2 linked regions of the Macaca mulatta genome follow. The protein of the gene in region 1 binds, or shares a complex with, the protein of each later gene. Links are inferred from orthologs where the notes say so. Each region holds a gene or a part of one and is shown on either strand. Other genes may lie near its edges.

Region 1 (4,138 bases):
TTGAGTTTGCAACTTCTGTCCTATAGGGTGTGTGAAACGGTCCATCAAGGTCTGACCTGAGGGAAGAGATGACAAGATTCCAAACTCCCACAAACTCAACTGAAGATGTTAGCTGCTGATTTTCTCCACTGAAAAACAGATACAGCAAACTTTCTCCCCAGCTGCTTTCTAAGCAACAATCTCAGTAGTTACTAAGAGTCACAGAACTTGTTTCTCTTAACAATCTGTGAAAAGCTTATTATGGAATGTTGATCATTCACAAATTAATGTTTTAATTAAAAGATCAAATATATACCCATTAATCAGTTTCGAACAGTTGGAACATAGGTTTAGGACAGCAGAGGGAACCACATTTCAAAAGAAAAAAAAAAACTGCCCTCTACACAGAATTTTTTTTAAAAAAAGTATTTTCACATATGTATAGCAACCACAAAAGCTTTTAACTATATAATTACTACTAAAGATGTCCATAAGATAGAATATACAACCTCCCCCAATGTCTAACTTATTTAACTCCTTAAACTGCTTTTCGATGAAACAAATTTTTCTAATCTTTTAGAAGTAAGCCAAATCAGTAACTAAAGTACTGCTTACTACTGACAGACTAGAGTTACCAGAAGTGTAATCTTTATTTATTTATTTATTTATTTTTGAGACAGAGTCTCATTCTGTCTCCTAGGCTAGAGTGTAATGGTACGATCTCAGGTCACTGCAACCCCTGCCTCCCAGGTTTAAGCGATTCTCCAGCCTCAGCTTCTCGAGTAGCTGGGATTACAGGCAGCTGCCATCAAGCCCGGCTAATATTGGTATTTTTAGTAGAGACAGGGTTTCACCATGTTGGCCAGGCTAGTCTCAAACTCCTGACCTCAGGTGATCCACCCGCCTTGGCCTCCCAAAGTGCTGGGATTACAGGTGTGAGCCACCGCGCCCAGCCCAGAAGTGTAATCTTATATATGTTCATCATCATATATGAAAAAACAATAATATTCCATAAACATATACATAAGCCTAAAGGAAATCAAACCTTGTAACACCAACTTCCTCTTTTATACCACTGAAACGTGCAAATAAATAAAAGCAGCCTGGAGGGAGAACATAACTTACCAAAAGACAAATTATAAGTGTGCATACATGAGAAGCAGTACCACCCTTTTGCTTTTGAGACCAGGAAATAGATGGTATCTTATGAAGGATAAATTCAACAAAATTCAGCTGTTTTCTTTCCTACCAGCTGCTTGTGAATCACTCTCCACACTCCAACACCATGAGGACAACCTGAAACCTGCAGTCAATGCCTCATACCCTAACTCACAATTAAAGAAATCCTGTCTCCAAGTTACAGCAACAGGACCCTACATAAAAGGAGGAAAGTCTAGCTTCAAGACAAATTGTTGAGAAGACTAGAATGAAGTTCACTGTAACTTTAAAATAACTTTGCACTAATTTGTTACTAGTTGAACATTTTCCAGTAATCTCGTTTCCTAGCATAGTATATCAGACTTCTGCACTTCACCCAGCTTGGAAATTTTACAAAGTAGACTAATTATGTGGGTATAAGCATTATATCGCACGTTGCCCTTCCTCTAAGTGTTAACAGAACAAAGTAGTATGCCGAAGAGCATGTAAATACTCGCAATGCTGTATTTCAAATTTGCTTAACTTTTATTATCTGAATCAGAACTTAGTTGGAATTGAATTAACACTACCCAGTGAATAACGACTAATTAAAACAGCCTTTCCCATTTTCAGCCAAAAACTGCAGTCTGAAATGGCTTTTGCTTTCTAATTGACTTACAACGTGTGGCTGGGGGGAAATGTCAGCGCTTTCCCAAGGACACTTTTCAGGCTGTAAACTTTCTTTGTTGGAGAAACTACCAAGTTCAAGGGGTGCCTTCAGAATCCACTTACCCGATCCTTCATCCTCCAGCTTTGAGCTAAGGATTTGGAGCCTTCAATTTTCTCACAGTGCCTCTTTTTCATAAAAGCCAAAGGTAGGTTCCAGTCTGTAAGATCAGCCTCATCTTCCTCCCCCAGGCCCAGAAGAGGCGACTGCAGCATTTCGGACTCCATCAGTGGGGGAGGGGGTGGGGGAGTCCTTGGCAGCAAGCGCTCAAGAACCTCCAGCCTTAAAAACTAGCGTGTACCAGAATTGGTGAAATAAGAAACAGAAAAACGGGGAATCGAAAAACAAATGGATGGAGAGTGCGGAGACCCTTACTCAGGCAAAAAGTCTGAGATCCTTATCTCTAACTCTGGGCGGGAAGTGGGGAGGTGGGGGCCGCTAGGAAATGGGGCAGCCCAAGAAGCTCCGCAGACACACACCAGCCCAAGTCCCAAGCCACTGGCTGCTCCTGGGGCTGCACGTTTCCAGAGGGGCTGCGAGCGGAGCTGTCAAAAGCGTAAGAGACTTCAGGCCTCACGATGACCCTGCTCTCGGCCTCCAACGCCTCAGCAGTTCCGAGGACAGGCAGGCCGCTCTTGGTGCCGGTTCGCCCACTGGGCCGAGGTCTCCGGCCAAGGGATCGGGTTCAAAGGGCCCTGGGTCTCCTCCAGCCACTCTCAGCCCTGCGGGTCCCGCACTCGTCTGAGCTGCCGCAACCAGAGCCAGGACCGGCCCATCGTGCTCGCCCGCACCCGGTTCCTCAACCTCAGGTCCGCGCGGCCTGGCTGGTCCTGGCCTTCAGCCCCGAGGCTCTCTCCTGCCTGAGAACGAGTCCTGAGAAACAGGCGACACGGAACCACGGAGAAAACGGACAATGAGGGCTTACTGGGTCAGGGGAGCTTTGCCCTCTGGTTTGGAGCTACAGGGAAACTCATCTCATCAGCACATCAAGGAGGACGCCATATTGCCAGGACCCAGAATGCACCGCGGCCTACGGCGTGGCCGACAGACCAAACCTCCTCAGAGCGTTCTCGCCGCGCCACCCAACAAGCAGTGAAGGAAAGGGAGTCCCTGACCCCATTACCTCGGTTACCGTAATTCCGTTTTCCCCAGTTAATCGCCATTTGTTCAGTAGAGGCGTGTTATTAAAGTCAGTCCTACAAATGAAACTGTCGGTTTAATTTATTTTTTCAAAAACATTGTTATTATAAATGAAGCTACATGCTCCTGAAATTAGAGGAATCAACCGCCTTGTTTCTTCCAGATTTTGAAAAAGCGGCAAAAGCTTCAGGAAAAAACACTGATAATATTAGAAAATATAGTACTTTTTTTTTTTTTTTTTAATGTAGTATCTTCCACAGTGTCAATCAGATTTTCTCTTTTTCGTAGAAAACCAAGTGAAAGGCTGGGCGCAGTGGCTCACGCCTGTAATCCCAACACTTTGGGAGGCTGAGGCAAGCAGATCACAAGGTCAAGAGATCGAGACCAGCCTGGCCAACATGGTGAAACCTCCGTCTCTACTAAAAATACAAAAATTATCTGTGCATGGTGGCGCACACCTGTAGTCCCACCTACTCGGAAGGCTGAGGTAGGAGAATCGCTTGAACCGGGGAGGCAGAGGTTGCAGTGAGCTAAGATCAGGCCACTGCACTCCAGCCTGGGAGACTGAGCAAGACTCTTCAGATGAAGAAGGGTCCGAAGCAAGATTCGATGAAAAAAAAAAATTCATCGAATACAATTCTTTGTTTAATCTGTTTCATTTGCTGAGCAGTTTATCCTTTGTAAATTTCTTTTCTCCTGTCTCAGCCTCGCGCACCACCACGCCCGGCTAATTTTTTGTGTTTTTAGTAGAGACGGGGTTTCACCGTGTCAGCCAGGATGGTCTCGATCTCCTGACCTCGTGATCCGCCCGCCTCAGCCTCCCAAAGTGCTGGGATTACGGGCGGATCACGAGGTCAGGAGATCGAGACCATCCTGGCTGACACGGTGAAACCCCGTCTCTACTAAAGAATACAAAAAATTAGCCGGACGTGGTGGCGGGCACCCGGAAGGCAGAGCTTGCAGTGAGCCGAGATTGCGCCACTGCACTCCAGCCTGGGCGACAGTGTGAGATTCCGTCTCAAAAAAGAAAGAAAGAAAAGAAAGAAATTCTAAGTGAGCACGTTGAAGTCCAAACCCACCAGGTGGTCAGAATCGCCCAGGAAACTAAAAATCAGGATGCCCAGCTTCCGCCCCAGACCCCCAGATCGGGGAGCA
Region 2 (3,649 bases), on another chromosome or scaffold:
TCTGAGCTGCTCCTTAGAGGGTAGGGCAGAGTCCCTGTCATTTCTCCTCCCTGGAATTCACCCCAGTGGATGGACTCCAGGGTATTGCTAATACATTCCCTTTCCCAAGGTAGAGCCTGGCCAAGCCCCAACACTCACCGCCTGCCCGCTTATCTTCTGGGCTATTACGCAGGTGGCTCTGGCTGGCTTCCGTGGGGGGCTCATCACTGGAAGGGCTGGTGACCCCGGGAATGGCAGGCAGATCCTTCGGGGGTGTTTTGGTCACAGGTGAGTTCCGACACTCCATCAGGAATTTCCGGTCATAAATGATCCTGGTACCTAGAAGGGCACAGGGAGGTTGGTCAAGCCACCTGCAACCTCTTGCCTGCTGGTTTTTCCAATTTTTAAAGGTGTGGCTGCAGTAGAGGCAGCAGATTCTCCTGAAAAACCCAGAGGAGGCCGGGTGCGGTGGCTCATGCCTGTAATCCCGGCACTTTGGGAGACCAACGTGGGCGGATCACCTGAGGTCAGGAGTTTGAGAACAGCCTGGTCTACATGGTGAAACCCCGTCTCTACTAAAAATACAAAAATTGGCCAACGTGGTGGCGGAAGCCTGTAACGCCAGCTACTCAGGAGGCTGGGGCAGGAGAATCACTTGAACCTGGGAGGCAGAGGTTGCAGTGAGCTGATTGCACCACTGTACAGCAGCCTGGGTAACAGAACGAGACTCCTTTTCATAAAAAAAAAAAAAAAAAGCCAGATCAATGAGGCTTATTTGGGGGTCTGGCTGCCACTCAGAACTCCGTTACCTCCAAATGGCCCTGACTCCCCTTCACATGGAATGATCTAATGGAAGGGGTCTGCAGGCCACCGACTGCACCTGTGTCTTCCCAGGGCTCTGTGCACACTGTGCTCTGTCCCTAAAGCCCCTCAGCTCACTCACCTACCAGGGCTCAGTGTTAACTACCCATGACAATCACATACCATGGTGGAAAAAATGCATTTCTATTCATTATTCAGTCCTGTCCTTACAGCACTCCTGTGGGATAACCAGAATAGCCGCATTTTACAAATGACCAAACAGAAAATTAAGTGATTCAACCAGAGTAGTAAAAATAGTAACTTTTGCCGGGTGTGGTAGCTCATATCTGTAATCCCAGCACTTTGGGAGGCCAAGGTGGGAGGACCGCTTGAGCCCAGGAGCTTGAGACCAGCCTGGACAACTTAGACAGACCTCATCTCTACAAAAAAGTTAAAATGAGCTGGGCATGATGGTACGTGCCTGTAGTCCCAGCTACTCGGGAAGCTGAGGCGGGAGGATTGCTTGAGCCCAGGAGGTCCAGGCTGCAGTGAGACCCTATGTCAAAAAAAAAAAAAAAAAAGAGAAATGCCTGGGCTTTGCAGAGAAGAGCCAGAGGCAGGAGTGAAGGGTGGGCTCTCCTTGCCCCCAAAGGCTCTCTTGCTGAGCCTCTCTCCTTTGTGAGGTCCCCAGTGTGTCCTGCCAGTGTGTCACTGACTTTGGAATTCTCCTACCCCACCCGCCCAAGTAGCTGGGATTATAGGCGTGTGCCACCACGCCCAGCTAATTTTTTGTATCTTTAGTAGAGACGGGGTTTCACCATGTTGGCCAGGTTGGTCTCAAATTCTTGACCTCATGATCTGCCCACCTTGGCCTCCCAAAGTGCTAGGATTACAGGCGTGAGCCACCGTGCCCAGCCCCTTTGTATCTTTTTATAGCTACCTTCTATTTATGGCAAGTGAATCTGGTGTTCCACATATAGTAGTGATAGCAATTCCTTTTAATGTACAAATAATATAATACTATATTGTAGATTCTATAATAAAATAATGTAAGCTAAATTCAAAAGCTAAGGTGATATAAAGAAATGTTAAACATCTGTACAAGTGGAATGCAAGGTATAGTAATAATTGTGCAGATAAAATATGAATAACCCAAGTTTGGGAATCATGATTTAAGGACTTCAGGAATGCCCTTCCTTAGCAATAACCTTGAAATCTCTCCCTCACTTAGGGGCTATGATGAGTGGCATTCCAACAGCTGAGATTCATTTCTTACGCTTTATTTTACTTTTTTCATTTTTAATTTTTATGGATCCATAATAGTTGTACATATTGAAATTCATTTCTTGATCCTCAGCACTGGACTCTCTGTAAACTCCTGAAAGGCACGAATTTCCATCTTGGAGACTAAGTGCGAGTTCACGAAACGGGGCTCTGTGCTGAGGCGGACCTGAGATGCTGAAGGGCAGAGGAATGTAGAGAGATACCTAAAGAGAAACTTCACCTGCTGGCCGTGTTCCTCTAGTCTGGCTGCAGCCCCTCCAGGCAGTCACTTGTCTTACTCTCCTGTCCCCTTGCAGGAGAGGCAGCGATGCTGAAGCTGACAGCCCTGCTCATTGCCTGTGGGACTCCAGCACAGAGCTGTTTCTTAGGAGGAGGGGTGTAAAGGAAAGAACCAGGGTGCATTTGGGCTCCATTCCCAGTCAGCTGTGTGACCCTATGCGCGCTGCTCCTTGCACTCCCTGCTTTGGGCCTCCGTCTCCTCATCTGTAAAATAAAGACCCATACACCTTCTAGGTCTGAGTGGCTATGAGCCCAATAGATTACAAATGGAGGGCGGTGGTGCCCTCTTTTTGCAGGGCCAGGGCAACAGTGAGGGGAGGTAAGGGAAGACCAATTTCTTTTTTTTTTTTTTTTTTTTTTTTTTGAGACGGAGTCTCGCTCTGTCACCCAGGCTGGAGTGCAGTGGCCGGATCTCAGCTCACTGCAAGCTCCGCCTCCCGGGTTTATGCCATTCTCCTGCCTCAGCCTCCCGAGTAGCTGGGACTACAGGCGCCTGCCACCTCGCCCGGCTAAGTTTTTGTATTTTTAGTAGAGACGGTGTTTCACTGTGTTAGCCAGGATGGTCTCGATATCCTGACCTCGTGATCCGCCCGTCTCGGCCTCCCAAAGTGCTGGGATTACAGGCTTGAGCCACCGCGCCCGGCCTGGGAAGACCAATTTCTAACTCTCTTTTTTTAAAAGTGACCCAGATTTGTTTTGGTTCTAGAAGCCAGATGTGGCATTGCTCCACTCTGCAAGGCTTGAGGTTGTACAATCTCCCCTCCCCAGAGGGGAGGGAAGCCCAGAGACCACAGGGTCCAGGCAGCGGGGTGGGGACTCAGTGGACACATGGCTGGACATCCTGGCTCCAGATGGGACCACTTTTTTTCTGTTGTTTCTTAATCTTTGAGACTCGGCAAGAGTCCCCCCCTTTTTGTTTCTCCCCAACTTTGCTTTTTGTTTTGTTTGTTTTGAGATGGAGTCTTGCTCTGTCACCCAGGCTGGAATGCAGTGGCATGATCTTGGCTTACTGCAATCTCAGCCTCCTGGGTTCTAGCAATCCTCCCGCCTCAGTCTCCCCGGTGGCTGGGACAACAGGCATGTGCTATCACGCCCGGCTAATTTTTGTATTTTTTGGTAGAGATGGGGTTTCACCATGTTGGCCAAGCTGGTCTTGAACTCCTGACCTCAAGTGATCCACCGGCCTCAGCCTCCCGAAGTGCTGGGGTTTCAGGCATGAGCCACACTTTTTTTGTTCTTGTTGGTTTGTTTACCATAGAGTGAAACCCAAGAGTTAAGATTCAATACTCTCAAAGAAGAGCCCAGG

The links. The genes of interacting proteins can lie anywhere in the genome.
Region 2: the proteins of RPTOR (region 1) and EIF4EBP1 are in contact, whole or in part, in a cryo-EM structure (PDB 6BCX), measured with the Homo sapiens proteins. The link is inferred for Macaca mulatta from reciprocal best matches to the Homo sapiens genes RPTOR and EIF4EBP1. Residues at the interface, in NP_065812.1 of Homo sapiens: Arg54, Arg305, Thr317, Asp321, Phe337, Arg338, Leu341, Ala344, Arg348, Leu437, Gln438, Leu440, Leu441, Ser442, Gln443, Arg446, Tyr475, Lys478, Leu479, Gln481; in NP_004086.1 of Homo sapiens: Glu111, Ser112, Gln113, Phe114, Glu115, Met116, Asp117, Ile118.

What each region holds. Positions count from the first base shown.
Region 1 is NC_133421.1:90,243,490-90,247,627, reverse strand, and holds the start of RPTOR (regulatory-associated protein of mTOR), read right to left. Parts: upstream 2,849-4,138; 5' UTR 2,071-2,848; coding exon 1,909-2,070; intron 1-1,908. UniProt on the Homo sapiens protein: Component of the mechanistic target of rapamycin complex 1 (mTORC1), an evolutionarily conserved central nutrient sensor that stimulates anabolic reactions and macromolecule biosynthesis to promote cellular biomass generation and growth.
Region 2 is NC_133413.1:39,997,236-40,000,884, reverse strand, and holds part of EIF4EBP1 (eukaryotic translation initiation factor 4E-binding protein 1), read right to left. Parts: intron 319-3,649; coding exon 139-318; intron 1-138. UniProt on the Homo sapiens protein: Repressor of translation initiation that regulates EIF4E activity by preventing its assembly into the eIF4F complex: hypophosphorylated form competes with EIF4G1/EIF4G3 and strongly binds to EIF4E, leading to repress translation.